Nothobranchius furzeri: one gene and its partners. The protein of the gene in region 1 interacts with the protein of each later gene in a pairwise test. Links are inferred from orthologs where the notes say so. Each region holds a gene or a part of one and is shown in the gene's direction. Other genes may lie near its edges. The genes, in order: sf3b4, mettl17, ppp1r16b, bag3 and cwf19l2.

The links.
Region 2: the proteins of sf3b4 (region 1) and mettl17 interact in binary tests that used the Homo sapiens proteins (3 or more experiments, as listed by UniProt). The link is inferred for Nothobranchius furzeri from reciprocal best matches to the Homo sapiens genes SF3B4 and METTL17.
Region 3: the proteins of sf3b4 (region 1) and ppp1r16b interact in binary tests that used the Homo sapiens proteins (3 or more experiments, as listed by UniProt). The two-hybrid records come from large-scale screens. The link is inferred for Nothobranchius furzeri from reciprocal best matches to the Homo sapiens genes SF3B4 and PPP1R16B.
Region 4: the proteins of sf3b4 (region 1) and bag3 interact in binary tests that used the Homo sapiens proteins (3 or more experiments, as listed by UniProt). The two-hybrid records come from large-scale screens. The link is inferred for Nothobranchius furzeri from reciprocal best matches to the Homo sapiens genes SF3B4 and BAG3.
Region 5: the proteins of sf3b4 (region 1) and cwf19l2 interact in binary tests that used the Homo sapiens proteins (3 or more experiments, as listed by UniProt). The two-hybrid records come from large-scale screens. The link is inferred for Nothobranchius furzeri from reciprocal best matches to the Homo sapiens genes SF3B4 and CWF19L2.

Annotation. Positions count from the first base shown.
Region 1 is NC_091759.1:1,629,946-1,634,123, forward strand, and holds sf3b4 (splicing factor 3B subunit 4), read left to right. Parts: upstream 1-1,377; 5' UTR 1,378-1,612; coding exon 1,613-1,646; intron 1,647-2,082; coding exon 2,083-2,211; intron 2,212-2,296; coding exon 2,297-2,839; intron 2,840-2,933; coding exon 2,934-3,104; intron 3,105-3,329; coding exon 3,330-3,476; intron 3,477-3,571; coding exon 3,572-3,720; 3' UTR 3,721-3,899; downstream 3,900-4,178. UniProt on the Homo sapiens protein: Component of the 17S U2 SnRNP complex of the spliceosome, a large ribonucleoprotein complex that removes introns from transcribed pre-mRNAs.
Region 2 is NC_091751.1:41,153,263-41,157,411, reverse strand, and holds the start of mettl17 (ribosome assembly protein METTL17, mitochondrial), read left to right. Parts: upstream 1-1,345; 5' UTR 1,346-1,471; coding exon 1,472-1,540; intron 1,541-1,978; coding exon 1,979-2,120; intron 2,121-2,227; coding exon 2,228-2,377; intron 2,378-2,454; coding exon 2,455-2,542; intron 2,543-2,611; coding exon 2,612-2,693; intron 2,694-2,783; coding exon 2,784-2,857; intron 2,858-2,929; coding exon 2,930-3,024; intron 3,025-3,096; coding exon 3,097-3,167; intron 3,168-3,309; coding exon 3,310-3,417; intron 3,418-3,805; coding exon 3,806-3,874; intron 3,875-3,955; coding exon 3,956-4,006; intron 4,007-4,084; coding exon 4,085-4,149. Other genes in the region: parp2 (poly [ADP-ribose] polymerase 2), read right to left, coding at 1-30, 125-334, 896-968. UniProt on the Homo sapiens protein: Mitochondrial ribosome (mitoribosome) assembly factor. Binds at the interface of the head and body domains of the mitochondrial small ribosomal subunit (mt-SSU), occluding the mRNA channel and preventing compaction of the head domain towards the body.
Region 3 is NC_091743.1:61,148,151-61,152,278, forward strand, and holds the start of ppp1r16b (protein phosphatase 1 regulatory inhibitor subunit 16B), read left to right. Parts: upstream 1-1,315; 5' UTR 1,316-1,460; coding exon 1,461-1,728; intron 1,729-4,128. UniProt on the Homo sapiens protein: Regulator of protein phosphatase 1 (PP1) that acts as a positive regulator of pulmonary endothelial cell (EC) barrier function. Involved in the regulation of the PI3K/AKT signaling pathway, angiogenesis and endothelial cell proliferation.
Region 4 is NC_091752.1:5,539,771-5,542,981, reverse strand, and holds part of bag3 (BAG family molecular chaperone regulator 3), read left to right. Parts: intron 1-2,534; coding exon 2,535-2,867; intron 2,868-2,957; coding exon 2,958-3,211. UniProt on the Homo sapiens protein: Co-chaperone and adapter protein that connects different classes of molecular chaperones including heat shock proteins 70 (HSP70s), e.g. HSPA1A/HSP70 or HSPA8/HSC70, and small heat shock proteins (sHSPs), e.g. HSPB8.
Region 5 is NC_091753.1:35,505,593-35,509,610, reverse strand, and holds the start of cwf19l2 (CWF19-like protein 2), read left to right. Parts: upstream 1-1,205; 5' UTR 1,206-1,261; coding exon 1,262-1,354; intron 1,355-2,223; coding exon 2,224-2,334; intron 2,335-4,018.

The DNA of each region.
Region 1 (4,178 bases):
TTGTTAAGTGTTCTATTCTAAGCTTCTGTTGATTAATTGACTATTCCATCCGACAACGTTTCAAGCGAAAAAAAACTGGTTTACTGCTAAAAAATATGAAATAAAACAACAAAATTATCAGGCTGAAGTATATAAAAGGCTCAATAATATGCATTATGGTTTCGTCCATCATGAACAGCCCCCCTCCTTCCACTCTCACTGAGACTTCTTTGCTTCGTTCAAAAGAGCCAGTCTTTTGAGCGGCCCTTTGAAGACGTAATTATTTTTATTTTTATGAGCTTTACTATCTATTTGTGGTATAACGGTTTGTGACTAAATGCATTATGGGATACTTTTCTGGTCCAAGTCCAAAGATGGATACTTTATTGTAATGGGTGAAGGACGAACACATCCAGGAACTTTGAGCGTACTTGCCATGATGCGTACTTGGTATTGGAACAGTACACGGGCTAACGCCAATGACATTTCACAATTAATATAGTACACACGTTTAAACAAGTACTCATATTGCAAAACAGCCTATAACTTGTTTTTTTTAATTAGTCTAAACCTTTCTCTTTCTGTGGTCTTTGGTGATTGCCAAGCAACACTTCCTAACCAGGAAGCAACTTGGTTCGCTCCCTGCTAGCCAAACTATCTCTAAGTATCATGACAGTGCTATACTTTCTCATATTTATGCCATAATGTCAAATTATTTCTTTATTATGTGACAAATATTATGAAGGTTAAAAGAAGGCGATTGTGTTTATGAACACCGGGTTTTAGTGAATCAGCTTGTGAAATATGTGTTGCATTATTTGGTTTGTGTTGTGAAATTCTGTTCTCGTTTTAGGGGCCAAAAAAAGAAAATGTAATAAGTGTATTTGAGCAGGTTTAATGAGTGAGCCTGGAGGTCTTTAATTTTGTTTATTTTTAAGGTTTACTTTTTAAAATAAAGTTCAGTAGATGTATTTTTCTTCACAAGCCATTAATTATTCTCAGCTCTTTCAGTTATTTTAATGACTATTATCTATGAAGGCTCCCTTACTGATGCTTATTTTAAATTCATTTTATAAACAGCTTTGGCAACAGTTTTATTTTTTGTCTTTGGTGCATGATGTTAGTTTCTATTTTTAATGTGTGTTTTATATATATATATATATATATATATAAAAAATAGTTACTTTCTAAAATTTTTGAGACCCTAAATGTGTGTATTTTCTATGAACACTTTGTATTCCATGTTTATACCTTTAGTATATTTATATGTATATGAAATAAATCAAATAATAAAAATAATTGTGGCTTTGTTTTGAATTTGTTGTTAATGGTTAAGTGCCATACAACTAAAAATATCCCAGAAAAAACTATCAAATCAATTCAAATGAAACTTAGTGATTTTGATTGCCTTTCAAGTTTTTAATTAACATTCATTTATTTGCTGTCTTTTTTTGTTTAGGAATGTCTGGGTCTTTAGTGTAATCAGAGTATAACAATTTTTTATGTAACTACAAAAACAGAAGAATTAGTTTATTTTTACTTTAATTTATTTGATCTTATTTTATTTTGTTGGGTTTTACCGGAAGAGGCGGGCCTTCCCTTCACAACGCTCTCCCAGCGTTGGTCATTCAACATGGCAGCGGGACCAATTTCAGAAAGAAACCAAGGTAATTTCATTGTTTAAATGGTTTAACGCTTACACCTTCATTATTTAGCGATATCTCTTGATTTATAACAATTGAAATTCTTATCCGCTCTTTCCCACCAATGTTAGCTGTCTAATTAGCCCGTGTTTTGGGGGTAAATGCGTACTCAAACACATGGAAGTCTCCGGTCTCGTTAGCCTAGCTTCTAGCTAAGTTAGCCGTTTTTTGTTTATTTTAATTGTATTACTTAATGCTTGTATTACTTAATGCTTGACTTCACGATAGCATACGGGAGTTTTATGTTGTTTATTTGAAATGCAGAGATTATTCCAAGTCAGGACTAGAACCACTAAACAACTAAAGTTAGCCTTAAAAACTCGCGACATTAGCATGTAGCAATGCTCACCTATCAATGTAAACACCGTTTTCCTTAATAGGTATTTTCTTGTGTTTCCAGATGCCACCGTGTATGTCGGTGGTTTGGATGAGAAGGTGTCAGAGCCGTTGCTATGGGAGCTTTTTCTGCAGGCTGGCCCTGTTGTCAACACACACATGCCCAAAGATCGGGTCACAGGTCAACATCAAGGTGAGAATCAGGCTATTCAAGATGGGATGAAAGTCCTAAAATTCACTGTAACAATGTACATAACAAATGAAACTGTTCCACTCAGGTTATGGATTTGTGGAGTTCCTCAGTGAGGAAGATGCTGACTATGCCATTAAAATCATGAACATGATTAAGCTCTACGGCAAACCGATTCGCGTGAATAAGGCCTCCGCCCACAACAAAAACCTGGATGTTGGCGCTAATATCTTCATCGGGAACTTGGACCCGGAGATCGATGAAAAACTGCTCTACGACACGTTCAGTGCTTTTGGCGTTATTCTACAAACTCCAAAGATCATGCGAGACCCAGACACCGGCAACTCCAAGGGTTACGCCTTCATCAACTTTGCCAGCTTTGATGCGTCCGACGCCGCCATCGAGGCCATGAATGGCCAGTACCTGTGCAACCGGCCCATCACTGTGTCGTACGCGTTCAAGAAAGATTCTAAAGGAGAACGCCATGGCTCAGCGGCAGAGCGACTGCTAGCTGCACAAAACCCTCTCTCGCAGGCAGACAGGCCACATCAGCTGTTTGCAGATGCTCCGCCCCCACCATCTGCACAGACGCCACTCCTAACCGCAATGGGCCCCGGGATTCCTCTTCATGGTATGACTGCTCTAATCTTAACTGCCGATAAAGAAGTACCTTTCTACATTTATTGGGTTAATTATATAATAGTTTTGTTTTTTTTTTTGCGCAGGTTTGCCGCCTCCTGGTGCCTTTCCTCACGTTCCTCCCCCTGGATCAATGCCTCCAACGATGCCCCCTTCTATGGGCATGCCTCCATCAGCAGGGACACCAGGTCCTCCATCTTCTCTTGGTGGACCTCCAGCTGTTCCTCCACCTTTCGCACCGGCCAGCATGCCTCCAGGTATAACTCGGTTGCAGAAAAGCCTGAAAATTTAAGTCTCTGCTCCCCATTTTAGCTTTAAGAAGTCCAATAACGATTAATAAAATTGTGCAGGATCAACCTCAGTCATCTCCTTCAAATGTGAAGAAATAAAAACAATAATGTTTCAATTTAAATGTCAGGTTATTAAAATGCAGCTGTTAGCCCTGAATGAGTTATTTTTATTTGTTTGATCCGGGCCCACAGGTATGCCTCAGATGCCCATGCCGCCTGCTCCTCCTGGCATGGTGCCTCCACCTGCTCCACCAGGATCGGCTCGAGCTCCACCGCCCCCCAGCATGCCCCCACCTCCTATGGGCATGCCTCCCAGAGCACCGTATGGACCCCCCATGGGTGAGCACTGTGGCATTTTCTCAAAAATACAATTTTTTTTAAATGAAAGTTGTTTTTAACCTGTTATTTCTTTTTTTTTTTTTTTTTTTCCCAAGCCCACCCTGTGCCTCCAGGTATGAGAGGACCTCCCCCCATGCCTCCTCCCGGCTATGGTGCCGTTCCTCCTCGTCCACCTCCTTTTGGTTTCCAGAGAGCACCTCCAATGCCACCAAGACCTCCCGGTGCCCCTCCTCGGGTCCCTTGAGAGCACCAAGAGCTCCGTGATCCACGTCAGACCACAGGAACATTCAGCTTGTTGTTTTTTTAAATACATGTTTCGATCTACTGGATTTTGTTATCTTGGAAGTAATTTAACCAACTGTTTTTGATTTATGCTCATTGTACAGATAAACAGAAAATTGGCAAATAAACATTTTAGTACAACTTTTGGATATTTTTGCGTTTAATTATTACTAATAAACTTGTAATGTACCAGAAATTAGTTTATGAGTAAAAGCTGCATAATAAGCAGGTGAGAGAGTAATATGTTCTAATTTATGTCCAAAAGGTATTTATAACTTGAGGCAGGGGCCCCAGTAGGTCATATACTCTCAGGTATTATGGTTTTATTTAAAAAGTAAAGTGATATTCCCTACTGTTGGGATTAAAATCCAAAAATATTTTTAAAAGAATTTTTTTAAAATGTTTTCTTTGGACATTTAT
Region 2 (4,149 bases), on another chromosome or scaffold:
CAGCCTCATCATCAGCTTCCTGTAAACTCTCTTATAAAACAAACAACAAAAAACAAATGTACGATCAACAAATAATGTGTCTTGCCATCTTCAGTCTGAATTGATTTCTATAAATAAAAAACACCTGTTTTTACAGTCTTGGAGCGGATTTTTCTCTTGTATTTCGTCACAGGGTTAATCTGGACCATCTTCTTCAAATCCACTTCATATGCTGCCCCCGAGCCAAGAGTCAGAGTGACGGATGTCCTCCCTGAAGAAATGGCTGAATCAAGCAAGGCACAGGCTGTAGGCGGGTACGATTCCCACTGTCCTTCATCTCCTTTCCACTGCCACACTGTGATCACAAACAGAGCCAGAAAACAGTAAAACAGTTGTTTAAGTGCTGCATTATAGGAAAAACTGAAAATAATATTCCACAACAGACCTTTTATGAACTATAAAATACTGATATGACTTTATAAAACATGAATCAATTTCTAAACATCAAATTTCTGCCCTGAGTTGATTTCATTCATTAAATGTAATTATGTAGTTTCTTTTTACTACTTTTTAAACAAAGATGTGTTAATCAACTGGACTTTGCAGAGCCATTATATTGTTTTTCTACACTCAAACGAGGCTTTAGTTATTACTAAATTAATTAAATGTAGCAGTGAGTCACTTTATTCTAGTGATTTCCTCCAGAACTGCTTAATATTCGTGCTTTTCACCAGTTTTCGCGCCAAGTTTTGATTCAATTAGTTAAAACACAAATGTTGTCAAATATAAGTAATAGGTAGTGCAGGACATAGTTACCAAAGAATTGTGAAGATGAAAATAAAACCTAATTCTCTGTCCGGGCATGTTTAATGGCTACACTGCTTCCTTCCATGATGTGCTAAAAGCAAACACCAACCTGTTTTTGACGGGACTTCGTGGTTTTCTTGTGCGCGCTGGCTTTTATTTCTCGAACTTCTGGTTCGCCTCATGTTTGTGTATCAAAACAAGTTTATTTAACAGCAGGAAAAGCAGAAATCGAGAAGCAGTAGAAAACACGGCGGGAACTTTCTTTTCTTCGGATAGGCCTGTAGAGAGCAAAGCCTACCGAAGATGGTTTATTAAAAAGATGCCGCACTTCGTAACTAACTAGCGATGAATACAGAAGTTAGCAACGCAGCAATATACATCTGTTTACAACCAAATAATGATTTTTCTAATGATGTATATGTGGTAAAACAAACATTTTTAATCTAATCCTTCTTTTATGTGCTATTTGTTTCCGAATGTTAGCCAGTATCTGTAAACAAGATCAGAGAAAGAACTCTTCTTGTTTCCCTCGTGTAGGAACAAATCTTTAAGGCTCGATGGTTCCACTTTCAGTGGTGGCCGGAATTATTTTGTTGATGCAAATCAGTCGGTCGGTGTGCTTTACAATAGCGTGGATGAAAGTAAATGTTTACCAATATTTCAGTGCCGTTTAGACACCGAGAACATGGCATCAAGTAGCTATAAAGCCTGTGGTCTCAGTCAGAGAGTGGCTGTGGTGAAGATTTTGTTCAGGGTAAGTACTCCACCAGGTGTCTTTGAGTGCATCATTTTCACTGGAGGTCATTTATGTTTTGTGTACATTTATGGTCTGTAAATGACATGTCAGTTTGTAGAAAAGTAGCCCGGTTTGAATATTACATAAAATTATTTGTTTTCATATTTCTTTCCACAGTTTTGCAGTGACTAGTATTTTTATCCTAATGTCCTTATTTCCTTGTTTTCCTGTATTTTTCTTTTCTCTAGTACTGCTTAATATTTTGCTAAGACTGTGCTTTCTTCACACCTTACATAAATTTTTTGTATATTTTTGGAATTATTTATATGCAAACAAACATGTACCTCATACACATATTTTTATATGTCGATTATGTACTCTAACAAAGTCATATAATGCAGCCACTCTGCTTTTCATTTTCCTATTCTGACACTTTGTAATAATAATTTATTCCAGACTGTGAGTGCTGCTGCTAACCCACAGCCCAAAGCAGATTTCCTTAAAGGAGAACCCCACAGGAAACATCCTGGTATGACCAGCCTGAATACACTTCGGCTACCCCAGGAGCTCCAAGTTGCTGCACAGTCAGTCATTCAAAGTGAGATCAGCTGTCATCAACTCTAGCTGCCATAATAATAATAATAATAATAATAATAATAAATAAAACTGACAATTTTCCCACATGTTTGTTTTTTCTTTGTGTAGAAGCTCAGGTGACCCAGCTTACTGATCGCTGTCACAAACTCATAAACTACTTGTGGAGTCGAAAGCGGATGGTTGAGGACGTGACTCTGAGGCAGAAAGCATTGGGTCTGGAGAAAGAACTCTGGGAGAAAGCCATGCAGAAGATGGGAGGTGAGCGAGGGTGGGATCAAGTAACGATGTATCCATGTAGCAGCCCCTGGAGACAATAAATATGTTTCTCTTTGCAGATATTGACGAGGAAGCGCTGAGGAATCAGATCAGGAAAAGGGTTCTCTCAGAGCTCAGACAAACTACATATCACTGGAATTCCCTGAAGTAATCAGAACTTAGAACTCAGCTTAATCTGAGAGTTTTGGTTCGTAACCGGCCCTTTTTGTGTTTCAGGTATGATGAAGAGCTGGGGGTGGTGTACATGGCCTCGCGGCTTGCTGGAGGTTTTGCAGCAGTGACGAGAGCTCTAAATGAGGTAATGAAGTGATTTGTGGAAGACTTTAGCCCCTGTACGTGCCTCTGATCACTCTTAAATTAAAACTGATGTGTTTTTGTGTTCATTCAGATAAAGAAGAGGGATCCCTCATTTGCTCCTCAATCTCTCCTGGATTTTGGGTCAGGATTGGGAACAGTTGCCTGGTTAGTGTGCAAATTAAAACCCTTTTTGTCTAAATGAGGTTAAGTGTGTGTGTGTTTTTTTGCCTCTCAAAGGGCATCACACTTGCACTGGGGAGACTCTTTAAAAGAGATGGTGTGTGTGGACAGCTCTGGGCCTATGAGCGTTTTGGCTGAGCGACTTCTTAAAGGTTGATCTGTTATATTTGTCACATTAACAGAACATTTTTTAGAAGATGCTGAATGTGCTTTCTTCTGCGCAGGTGATGAGGAGGAGGCTGAACCTCTTTTCAAACACGTCTATTTTAGACGATTTCTTCCCGTCTCTCCTAAGGTAAAACATCCCAGGTTTTTGGTTTTGTTACAGAGGAAATGCTGATCTGGATTTACCACGAGAAAGCAATCTCAGATTAACTTAATTATGTTAAAATTGGTAATAAAAGCTACAAATCTGACTCCCCAGTTTCTCTCCTCAGGTTCAGTTTGACTTGGTGGCGGCTGCTTTCACTCTGTCAGAGCTTCCCAGCGTGAAGGAGCGAGAAGATGCTGTGATCACTCTGTGGAGAAAAACATCCTCCTACCTGGTTGGTTAGATCAATAATTCAACTTTATATTTCCTTTTACGCCTTCTGAGTTTTTTCCAGTGTTTATCCTTCACGTGTCGACATTGGCTTCTTGCCTTGTAATATTTGATTCTGTTAATCTTAGACCTGCTTTTATTACTCTTTTAAAATATTTTTTATGTAATTTAACATTTTAAAAATATTTTAATGGTTTTTTTTTGTTTTTGTATAATATGCTCTCAATATTGTTTGTTTTTTTATTTTTCTGAGGTCCAACAAATCGAGAATAGCTAGGTGAAATTAAAAATGCACTTGAAATTAAAACTCAGGTCATGAGAAATTAAATGTGGAAAAAAATTCAGCTTATTTTAAGCTGTGTTTCATTATTTTTCCACACTTTGTCCTTCAGGTTCTGGTGGAAAACGGAACCAAAGAGGGCCATCAGATGCTCATGGACGCCAGAGACACTTTACTAAAGGTACTCCAGTGAAACTGCCGCTTGGTTCTTTCCTGGCGTTTCTGTGTAAAAGTTTTGACAGTTTAATAAATTGCACAACAGAAACAAGAGCAGATTGTTCACGACCCCAGACCAGCAAGAGTGTTCGCCCCGGTAGGTTAAAGGAAAAGCATCAGTCTTGGTTTGCGGCGTTGCATTTTTTGCTGCAGCTTCTTTTTGTTTACTCCTCAGTGTCCCCATGAGATGATGTGTCCCAAACTGGCCCGAGAGCCCATCACACCCTGCAACTTCCAGCA
Region 3 (4,128 bases), on another chromosome or scaffold:
ACGATGTCGGGCTGTCTGAGTCAAAACTCTCAGATGGAAAACAAAAATGTACCGACAGCTGAAGGATAAATTGGACACCCTGCTGCTAATCCTCTTGTGATCACCCTCTGGGTCGTGACCCAGCCGTTACAAATCATTAGCTGCATTAAAGATTCTCACAGCACGCGCTTCTTTCACGGAGCTGACCCCATCTCAAACTGTTGTTCTATTTTATCTTAGATGTTGATGCTGAAAAGTCAACTATTCATTAATTTCACGTGTTCTCCCGTGGAAGGGCTGTCTCATCTTTGCGCTCGTTGTGAAATCAGATGAACTTTGACACAAACAGAAACTCTCAGCGCCGGTAAACCGATGATGGAAAAAGATGCTGTAGTAAGTGATTGTTCTGCTTGTTTCCTGTCCGTGTTTTTTAACAGCTTGGGTATGAGCTGCAGAGGAAATATAGCGTGAGCATGGTGGCAGTCTGGAAGTGGCAGCGCGGTGCTTCGTGAAGTGTTTCATCAGACGGTGCTGCAGGACAACGCGGCTCCTGTAGTGGAAGGCTACAAACATGAGGAAACTTTTCATGCAAGAGGCGTTCATGTTTTCATTTAAAAAGCAATGAGGGCTTTTGTTTTTGCATTTTTCTATTGGGCTTTTGATACTTGAGGGCTCTCAAGTAGACTGATGTTACTTCATAAAGTGTGTTTCAAATGTCCTACACGTGTAAGGACGATTTGTTTATGACTGCTGTTATAAAGGGTGCAAAAATGTAGAGCAGAAATGCACAGAAATCCCCTTTTCAGCTCATTGGCCCAACACTTCACCCCTCCTTCTCATCAGTTTTTCTCTTTGCTTGCAGCTTTAAGGAAGCGGTTAACCTTGATGGTGGATGGTAGACAGATCTATAGCAGCTCACGAAGCAAATGGAAAACTGTGTCCGCTTTGATCAATCCTCTGGTTTCAAACGGAAAGATTTAGCGCCATTTTCAGGAAGTTGATTTTGTCCTGCAAACTTGAATTTATGTATGGTGTAAAAATGGTTCAAAGTAATGCAAGAATGGTGAGAATTTGTGAGAAAAGGGACTGCAGTTTTGTCTGAGTCTGGTGCTATTTGGCAGGGAGCAGACCGATTGAGAGTAGCTCTTGCCAGTTTAGTAGCTTAGCTCTAAATTGTTGCTCTTTACTGTTGAACTGAAGCAACACTTCCTGAGAGAATTTGGTTTAATATTTTAAAACATTCGTGTAAAATCCAGTTAACATTGTGAGTAAAATAAAAAGGATGATAAGACAAATGTTTATATCTCTGCATGTCTTCTTCCAGGTGTTTCACAGGTGCTGAAAGAAAGATGGTGAGGATAAAAGGTGGAGGCCACAGCCGACGGTCCAGACCTCGCTAGAGTTGCACGATCTCCATCGTCTCACCTCTTCACCATCATCATCGTCTTCATCCACCACTGCTGTCCATCCCACCTAGTACCATGGCCAGCCACCTAGAGCTGATCCAGGAGCTGCAGCAGCTGGACAAGGTGCCAAGTCTAGAGAGGCTGCGGGCGGCCCAGAAGCGCCGGACCCAGCAGCTGAAGAGGTGGGCCGTCTACGAGAAGGAGATGCAGAACAAGAAGCGAAAGGCGGATAGGAAGGGACGAAACGGCAACAACCTGCAGCAGTCAGAGTTCAGGAGGCGAGTGTCATTCGCTGCCAGCGTGGCGCTTCTGGAAGCGTCGGCCAGGAATGACCCAGATGAAGGTTTGTAATATATTATAAACATAGTTTATTTATTCCTAAAGCACAAATGCATTTTGGGTATTTTGTTGTTTTGTTGCAGCACATGAATAACTACGTTAATACCAGCCTCCCGTCATTCCCCCTCCCAGATATCCAAATGCCAAGGTTATGAAAACGATTAGCTCTGCCTTCCCACTCAAGCAGCCCAAGTCACTCCATTCAAACCAAATTTGTTCTGCTACATGACCGTTTTATCGCTGGGGAAATAATGGACTTGTCACACCGAGATGAAACTCTGCCAGTCTTTTAATTGAAAATGCTGTGCATACTGCCCCCCTGTTAGAAGATAATAATTGTTTTCCTCCTGTAGAGGCAGTTCCATGGGGCCTTGGCTATGTTTTTGTGATGCTGCGATGTCAAAACGCTGCTTTCTCTCTTATATGGTGTCTTATTTAACATCACTTTAACATGAAATTGGTTTGAAGTCTTTTACCAGAATAAAAATGGCCCACAGCAGTGTCGCTGCAGATACAGATACCTCCACAAGGCTGCGGTGATTCTAGGGTAAACAGGCGTGAGCTGGGCGTGTGCAGGATGCACCCAACATGCTGCAGTGTCACATTGTTTTGGAAGTGATTTCAGCAACATTTTAAAGGTTGTTATTTGGCTGCTGTGCCACGGGGGAATTCTCCTCTTTAATGTTTTCACGTTCAAAGATGGTTGGACAGGAAGTCATTTTTGCTTTACCACCACATTATCTAGAACAGTGGTTCCCAAACTTATTTAGCCGCGCACCCCCTTCTATGTCCCGACCATGTCGACGCACCCCCCCCCCCCAGCCCCCACATTGGAGCATGGCTCTATATATATATATATATATATATATATATATATATATATATATATATGTATATATATATGTGTATATATATGTGTATATATATATGTATATATATATATATATATATATATATATCAGATGTCAAGCTAAACAGACAGGGTTAAAAAAATTCCCCATCACTTTCATTTTTTAAATAGTAATTAATAAACATTCGATACCATTACAATTTCCTTTGATTTAATTTTAAATAAATATTAAGAGTGCCCAGGTAGCACATAAAAAATGCAATTTAACAGTTTTCTTAAAGTAGGAACGTTTAACCTGTGCGGCCAGAGCGCTCTCCTTCCTTCTGCTCTGCGTAAACCTGAACTGATCACCTACTTGTGCGTAATCAAATGTCAATAGGGGACAAGATATAGCCATGATGTTCACTTTTACCTCAGACCGACTTATTGCTGTTTTATGGTGTGGCTGAATCTGCGATCCGCTGCCACGCTGACTGGAGTAACAAATGGTGCAGTAACAGGACTTGTGGTCAGGTTCATGAGGAGTCACTGGCTGTAGTGGACCCGACTCATCCCAGAAGCTAATATCTTAATTTGACCTTGAATGAAAAATAACCTCTTAAAAGTTTTTATCACGGTGGAGGCAGCGTTCATTTCTGCCTTCAGTCTGACGGCGCGCCGGAGTTAAAGCAGCGTGTGCGCTTATTGAATCTGTGTGTATGTGTGTGTGCGCACGCACGCGCGGCACAGCCGCTCAAGTCACCGCTTCTCGCGCTATTTAAACCAATGTTGTAAAATGACTTCTGCCCAGCCCAGATGTGCTCACTTGTGCATCCGTGAGCCGTGATTCCGCTGGAACGCGTCTGACCTCTGACCGACGCACTCTGAACTTCAGATCTTCAGCGCGCTGTTAATAGCCTGAATGGGAATCATTTCTTGTTATATTGTTTCATCCACAATGTTCTGTGTGTGAGGTTTACAATGTCAGAACACCTGTGTGAGACAGGTGTTAATTACAATCTGCCAGAATGACTCACCACCTTCAGATTCCTCCAACACCGTTAAAAATGATCAAATACTGAACATATCGGCGTGCGCAGGCCAGAGTGCTGAAGCTCAGCGCATTGTTATTATGAAGCTAGGGCACATGTGGAGGACGCGCACGCGCGCAAAAATATACTTGTTTTCAATTACATTTATTGTGCCCACTTACTTTTTCTTTGGCCCACCCATATAAGAGTTTCTGGCTACGCTAATGGTGACATATGACAATCTTCTCTGAGCTCCGCAGCCATTACACTTTTCACCTCGCGCACCCCCTAGCGGCAGCTCGTGCACCCCCAGGGGTGCGCGCACCACACTTTGAGAATCCCTGATCTAGAAATATGCAAAGTCGTTGAAAAATTTGTCATGTCAATTTTTAATTATAAAGCACTTTTCATACCAAAGGCAACTCGAAGTGCTGTACAGAAAATAAAACAATAACCACAATAACCCTCCCCCTCAACCACACACACACACACACACACACACACACACACACACACACACACACACACACACACACACACACAC
Region 4 (3,211 bases), on another chromosome or scaffold:
CCCTCTAATCCATTATCCATTAGAAATAAAATACTGAAATTTCCTGACTTGAAAATATTGTAAATAATGTACAGAGCGAATACGAGTAATTTACCAACTAATATTCCGAAAATGTTTCATAAGAGAGTAAGTGGGTACGTGTTAAAAGGGACTGATGTCTGATGTAAACCTGAATTCAGAATGTAATATTTCTGTAAATGGTGTAAGATTGTGGAACGCCCTTAACAGAGAAATTAAAGAATCAAACTCACATGCTATAAATATTTAAAAATGTATAAAATCAAATGTATTAAGTAATTATGAAAAGGTAAACTAAAATGTCAATGATTATATATAAACAGTAGAACGGGACTAAGGTTATATTGTGAATGTTATGTGCTCGTTTTCATTCAAATGTTTTTTTTTCATTACGTTTATGTATTTGTTTGTGTTTATTTTATAAATTTTGAATGAAATAAAAAGAGTTTTAAAAAAGCATTTGTGACTGGTCTCATCACTGTGGAGGATTTTTTTGACGCACTCATAATTCAGCCTCATTGGAGAGTTTTTTTTTTTTTTGCATGAGTGGTCTCTAAGGTCAAAGGTCAGAATTTCTCCTTCAGGATGTTCTGCTAGAGAGCAGAATTCACGGTTCCACCAGTTGCAGCAAGATGTCTACTTCATGTTGTCACACAGGTTGTATTGAACTGATTTATTAATCCTGCAGGTCTGGGTGTTGCTGGTGGAACTGAACTAAGATTTGGACTGATTAGTTCCCTTAATGAATGAAATTATAATATAATAGTAATACATAATATTATGTATTTGTTCATTTTAACTTTCTCTGATGTTGAAATGTGTTTGTTGTTCTGAAACATTTAACTGTTCGAAAAAACAAGAAATCTGTAAACGGGTCAATTCTTTTTTTCACAGCTCAGTTGATTAGCTTCTAAAAATTTCTACTTTTATTGTGTTTATTTTGTTTTCCAAATGCATCCTGGAATTAATTTAGCGTTTTTAGATCAGCCCCAAATGTTTAGAAACAACAATCTATAACCGCCGTGTGGCGTAAGTCTAATTCAAGATGGCTGCTGGAAAAAGGTTTTTAACCGGGTCAGTTACAAAATCATGATGGTAACAGATTACAAATGCTCGTGTGATGTTGAGTGGAAAAAAATCAGGCAATATTTAAAATTCAGCATTTCACCAAAAAGATTCCAACTTTATCAGAGACAAATAATTTTAGTGCCCTCCATTTTTATTATGAACGGCCCTGAATTAGTAAAATGTTAGCCTAGAAATCCACACAAACCGGAGCGGTAGCTAAAGATTTAGCTCTGCAGGTCAGTTTAGCCACACCAAGCCTCAGCAGGTCTACCACTGGCCTGATCAGTTTTGAGTCTAGCCAATCACAGCGTTCTACATTTGTAGACACGTTGGGCGGGCTTAGCACCAGAGCGGTGACGAAGAAACTTTAGGGGTCGGCTCAGGAACTTTGGACGATTTAGATGTGGGCTTTTCTTAGAGTCAAGAGCAGATAGAGGTACTTAAGTCATTTAATTTGAAAAGGATGTATTTGCCTGTTCTACTTTGACGGAATGTCAGACTGGTTACCGTGGTGATGAATATGTCACGTTGTTCTGATTGGTCCTAGCAAGTTGGGCGCAGATTGTTTGAAAGACAACCGTAGATCAGAATCAGAATGGTTTTATTGCCATATATGCGAGAAATCACAACATTAGGAAACCGCTGCGGCACTTGGTGCAAAAAAGAAAGATAAAAATGAGAGAATATAGGAAGTAAGAATATAATCATGATAAAATAATAATATAAAGTGGCAATAATTAGAGAAATGGCTACTATGTACAAGACGGTGCAGGTACTGATCAGAGCAGATCAGTTCAAGAACGAACACAACACAGGGTCATGTGACTGAAACCAAGCGACTGGAGTGGGCAGCCCTAGGATTGTCATGAGTCGGGGAAGAAACTGTTCTTCTCTCCTGGCAGATGGTAGCGAGTCAAAAAGACCGTGTCCACGGTGACATGTCAGCTGTGATCCGACCTGCACGCCTCGGTGTCCTGGAGGTGTACAGGTCCTGTATGGGGGGGGAGTTTGCAGCCAGTGAGCTTCTCAGTAGAGCGTACAACACGCTGCAGCTTCTTCTTGTTCCTGCTGGTAGCTCCAGCATACCACACTGAAGAGGTACCGTGTGCTCCTAAAGCCCACAGCAACCTCCGCTGTCGTCTGTGCATTTAGCACCGGGTTGTTGGAGCTGCACCAGGACACCAGCCACTCGACCTCCATTCTGTAGGCAGACTCATCCCCATCACAGATGAGTCCTGTGACAGTGATGTCATCTGCAAACTTGATAGGTGCAGCCGTTGGTGTAGTTACTACCCCACGACTGAGTTTTGTCTGTGGGTTGTGGCCAGACTTTATATTTACATATACAGGAGGGTTTGCAAGGCTTGCACGTAGGACTTTTTCTTAAAAAAGGTAAACAATAACAGCTGAAATTCACTAAGTCTTGTCCATTCAACTTTGGGTTTCAGTGTCGAGAAGTGTCAGCGAATGGGCCCACCGTTCCAGCAGAACCAACTCCTCAGGAGCCTCCGAAGACCTTTGTGAGGGAGATGAAGCACCCCATTCTTCGTCCCGGTTATATACCCATCCCAATCGTCCATGAGGGATCAGACGTGAGGCAACCGCAGCATCCGTGTTACTCTTACATCCAGCCATCATTTGCACAGAACATCGGGACGGATGTGCAGACTCCGGCGTCTGGGCTCCACCACGGCAGACCCAGATCGCCTTTACACGGACCTTCAGACAGCTGCACCACTGAGCCTGGAAAGGCCAGCTCACCAGCTTCACCAGTCACAGAGGTAGGTTATGAATGTAGTTCCACCACTAATCTAGCAATATTACAAACATTTAGCCTTTTATTTAAATGTTACTGCTCTGTTGTTTTCAAGATTTACCCTGCCTCCCATCACCAACCGCCACGGTCCAGCAGCACCGGCCTGCAGCTCGGTTACATCCCCATCCCGGTGATCCACGAGGGTGGGGGGGGCCAAACGCAGCCTCAGTTAAACTCCTCGGTCTATTCTCAGCGCATTCCCTTCTCGGACCACCGTCACCAGACAGAAGACTGGCCCGGCTTCTCTGCTGCTATGCAGCCCCCCAGGGAGAGGGCTTCTCCAACAATATTCACCCCCCATCGCGACTC
Region 5 (4,018 bases), on another chromosome or scaffold:
AAATATGGACCGGAAATAAAAAATTGATCTTGGATATGACAAAACAATTTCTTGTGCCTTTATTTTGCATTTCCCTAGCAGTCATTACTTGATGTGACTGTGGATTTGGGGAACATCTTTAATATATGTAATTGCATTCTAAATATAATAACCAGAATGTATGATTCGTACCTAGTGACAGATCTGATTGCATTCACATACCTTCAGTTTTTTTATTTTTACACAGTGGTACATGGCCTGTATTTGTATAGCACCTTCTTAGGGTTCTACAACCCCCTAAGGCGCTTTACAACATCGTGATGAGCTACAGTGTAGCCACAGCTGCCCTGGGGTACACTAACAGGCAAGACCTGCTGAACACTGGTGCTGCTGGTTCATCTGACCACCACCAGCAGGAAAAGTGGGTTAAGTGTCTTGCCCAAGGACAAAACAGCAGCATTCTCTGGTTGAAGCTGGGATCGAACCTGCAGTCTTCGGATTGCCGGACAACTCCCTCTACCTCCTGAGCTACTGCTGTCCCAATGTTTCAGTTCAGCACATAGACATCACATCAAAGTCAAATAGAGGAGAATAAGTATTTGACACATCAGCATTTTTATCAGTAATGGTTTTTCTAAGTGGGCTATTGACACAAACTTTCCACCACATGTCAACATCACCTCAAGTATTTAATTCATGCAAAGACATCTAAACATTTAAGTCAATTAATTGATTTATGTGTAATAAAGTGAAAAGACACAGGCAAAATGTATTAAACACAATGTGCCAAATGCCCAGTGTGGATTATAGCAGGTTGTAATCACTTATGAACACAATTTTACAGCTGCATGTTATCTTTTTTTGCTAAGCAGCTTTACACACATACACACACACACACACACACACACACACACACACACTAAATAAAGAAAATCTCACTCCAAGACTTTTTTTTAACAGAGGTGACCGTTAAATTTTTTTAGAACATTATATATATATATATATATATATATATATATATATATATAGAGAGAGAGAGAGAGAGAGAGAGAGAGAGAGAGAGATAGATAGATAGATAGATAGATAGATATATTAGTTGTGTTTATAATATTTTATAAGTAAATATATTATTTAAGTTCTATAAGAAAATATATATATTTTTTTTCATATTATTTAAATTGATGCGCCTGTCCTTGGTCCTTTTGCACTATGAGCCACAAGTCCTCAGTTGACGTAAACTGCGTTGCTTTACGACAGTTGACAAAACATTCACGACGGTGTCATGGCGACGTATGGTGTTAGTTTTGAGAGTTCGAGCAGCATCGACGAAAAGAAAGAGAAAAAGAGGCAGTCGCGAGAAGAGGTGCTAGAAAAGGTACGCGTTTGCTTTGGAAAAGCAAGATTCACGTGTAACAAAAGGCTATTTCGTTGTGTTAGTTACGGTTTAAATCGTACCCCGAGTTTCTGAGTATAAGCTAACACGCTAAGAAGGCTAACAGCTAGCATTTTAACGTTTGGGTACATCATATCTGTATATCATTCTGCTGATGTGTACTACCTTGAAGATGTATCCGGACAGGAAATTACGAGTCAAACACTGACTCGGACAGATAGCAGAGCTGCCTTTAATTTGTGTTGTATTTGTCTCAGTTATTTACCATGCCCAGTGAGTGTTTGGATTAGAGCAGGTTGTCAGCACTTATGTACACAATTTTACAGTTGCATGTTATCTGTTTCTGCTAAGCAGCTACACACACACACACACACACACACACACACACACACACACACACACACACACACACACACACACACACACACACACACTATCTATTTAGCTCACCTGTGTCTGAATTGACCAAAGTCATAATGGTGGCTGGATCTGATTTATGAAGCTAAGTTTTAAAGAGGAAATGGCTCAGTGTGGTTTAGGAGCTCAGTGTTGTCAACTTGTCTTTTCAAACGATCTTCTCCTTTACACCTCACCTTTTAGAGTAGAGGAGGTAGATGTCAACAAAATAGAAACTGCTTAACTGAATCTTTGTTTTCTTGGTTTACATGTTTTATCATTAATGTCAGACCAGCAGATCTTCCAGAAATACATTTTTACATCTCTGGGAATGTGGAGGAGAAAATGAGAAGGGAGACATAAATTGGACACGTAAATTGGTCCTCTGATGCAATCTAAATGTATGTGTAATAGTAATATTTTGTTTCTGTTCATATTTCTATGCGGGCCAACAGGCAAAGCAGCAATATGAGAAGGAGGAGAGGAGGAAGGAGCTGAAGAGGCTGAGAGGAGAAGATACTTGGATTCTCCCTGAAGTCAACCAGAGGCTGCAGCAGATAGAGGAGGTAAGTAGGGGTGGGTGCAATTAATCGATGTGGCGATGCATCTAAAAGCTTAACATGTTGTTTCGGCATCGATTAATGAACGTCAATGCTTAAAAAAACATAACATCAAAGTTTTGTTGCGAAGCCGGTACTTAAAAAAAAAAACGTAACCGGAGCCTTAACGCGCGCCGCCCGGACTGTTTAGTGAGTGGCACTAACTCTTTGACCTCTTTCTCCATCTTGGAGACTGTCTCCAAACTACCGAAGAACTCAGAGAAGGCGAGGAGCATTACAAAAGCAATAGCTACTGTAATCGCGACGGATCTACACCCGTATTCAGCAGTAAACAACAGGGGGTTTCGGTTAGTGGTGCGCACCATGGAGCCGCGCTACAAACTTCCTCACCAAAAACACTTTGCAGAAAAAGAAGCCCCCCACCTCTACAAGGAAACCAAAGCAAGCGTTCTGGAGTCCATGAAGAAGGCAACCGGGATAGCGCTCACATGCGATGCGTGGACATCGGTTGCCACCAAATCCTTCGTTACTGTAACGGCGCATTTTGTTCTTGCGTCGGACAAGAACGGGTGGAAGTTGGTGAGTCACGTTCTTCAAACTCGAGAGATGAGTGAGAGTCAAAGTAGCACAATGTTGACATTTGCCCATCTCACACAACAGGAGGATGTAGGGGAACAAGAGGGAGGAGAGGGAGTATGAGTGTCACTCTGCTCTATTTTATGTTGTTTATGTTGTTTATGTTGTTTATGTGCTTAGCAGACGCTTTTACCCAAAGCGACTTACAATTTATTTTTTTTAACCTATAGGGCATGTTGTGATTTTGTTGTGTTCGCCTCACTGTACTGAAGCTCCAGGCTGAATATATGTTCAGTTGAATTATGCACTTTTGTTCTGAAAAAATACAACATATTACCTTCAAATATAGCAGGTTTTTTCTGTTACCTATATTCCAGACTGAATAAGCTGAATTTATTTATTTGATCTGTATGGCAGCTTTTTTTGTAATGTTATCATATGCCAGACTCATAAGTTTCCATTAAATAAATTTGATGGAAGTAAAAATCTTGTTTACTTGAATTAATTACCTCATTAAATCCAGGGCTTGCCTGTTTTCAGTGTTTCCCAACAATGGAGGGGACACTAGTGTAAGTAAAGCTTTCCCTGATCGAAGTTAAGTTGGTCAAAGTGCAAATATTTACACGTCATACAGTCATAAAATAAGAATTTGTCTTTGAAAAATAGTTAAATGTTAAAAAAATGTATTTACTTACAGAGAGTAGTTTTAGAGGAACTGAATTAATTGATAGGTTAATTATTTACAAATGTAGATAAAGAAGAAGACAATCTTGTATGAAAAAAGCATTAAAAATGTCAATAATCGAAGAATCGTGGCACCAGTAATCGAATCGAACCAAAAATCATTATAATCGAAGCATCGAAGCTCCCATAATCTAAATCGAATCGAACGGTGAAGTACCCTTTTTGGAACACCCCCAGAGGTAAATGTCACATTGCTTTTAATTCAACAATGAAAAGCATCGCTATTGCTGTGCATGGAAAAAACACAACTTCTTGTTTCCAAAAGATGGTTACTTCCCTATCATTGCAAATGACAACTAATTAGGAATGCACTGAACACAGTCAGCAACATAAAAATAAGTTAATGTTAGTAATCCAATGTACCAACATC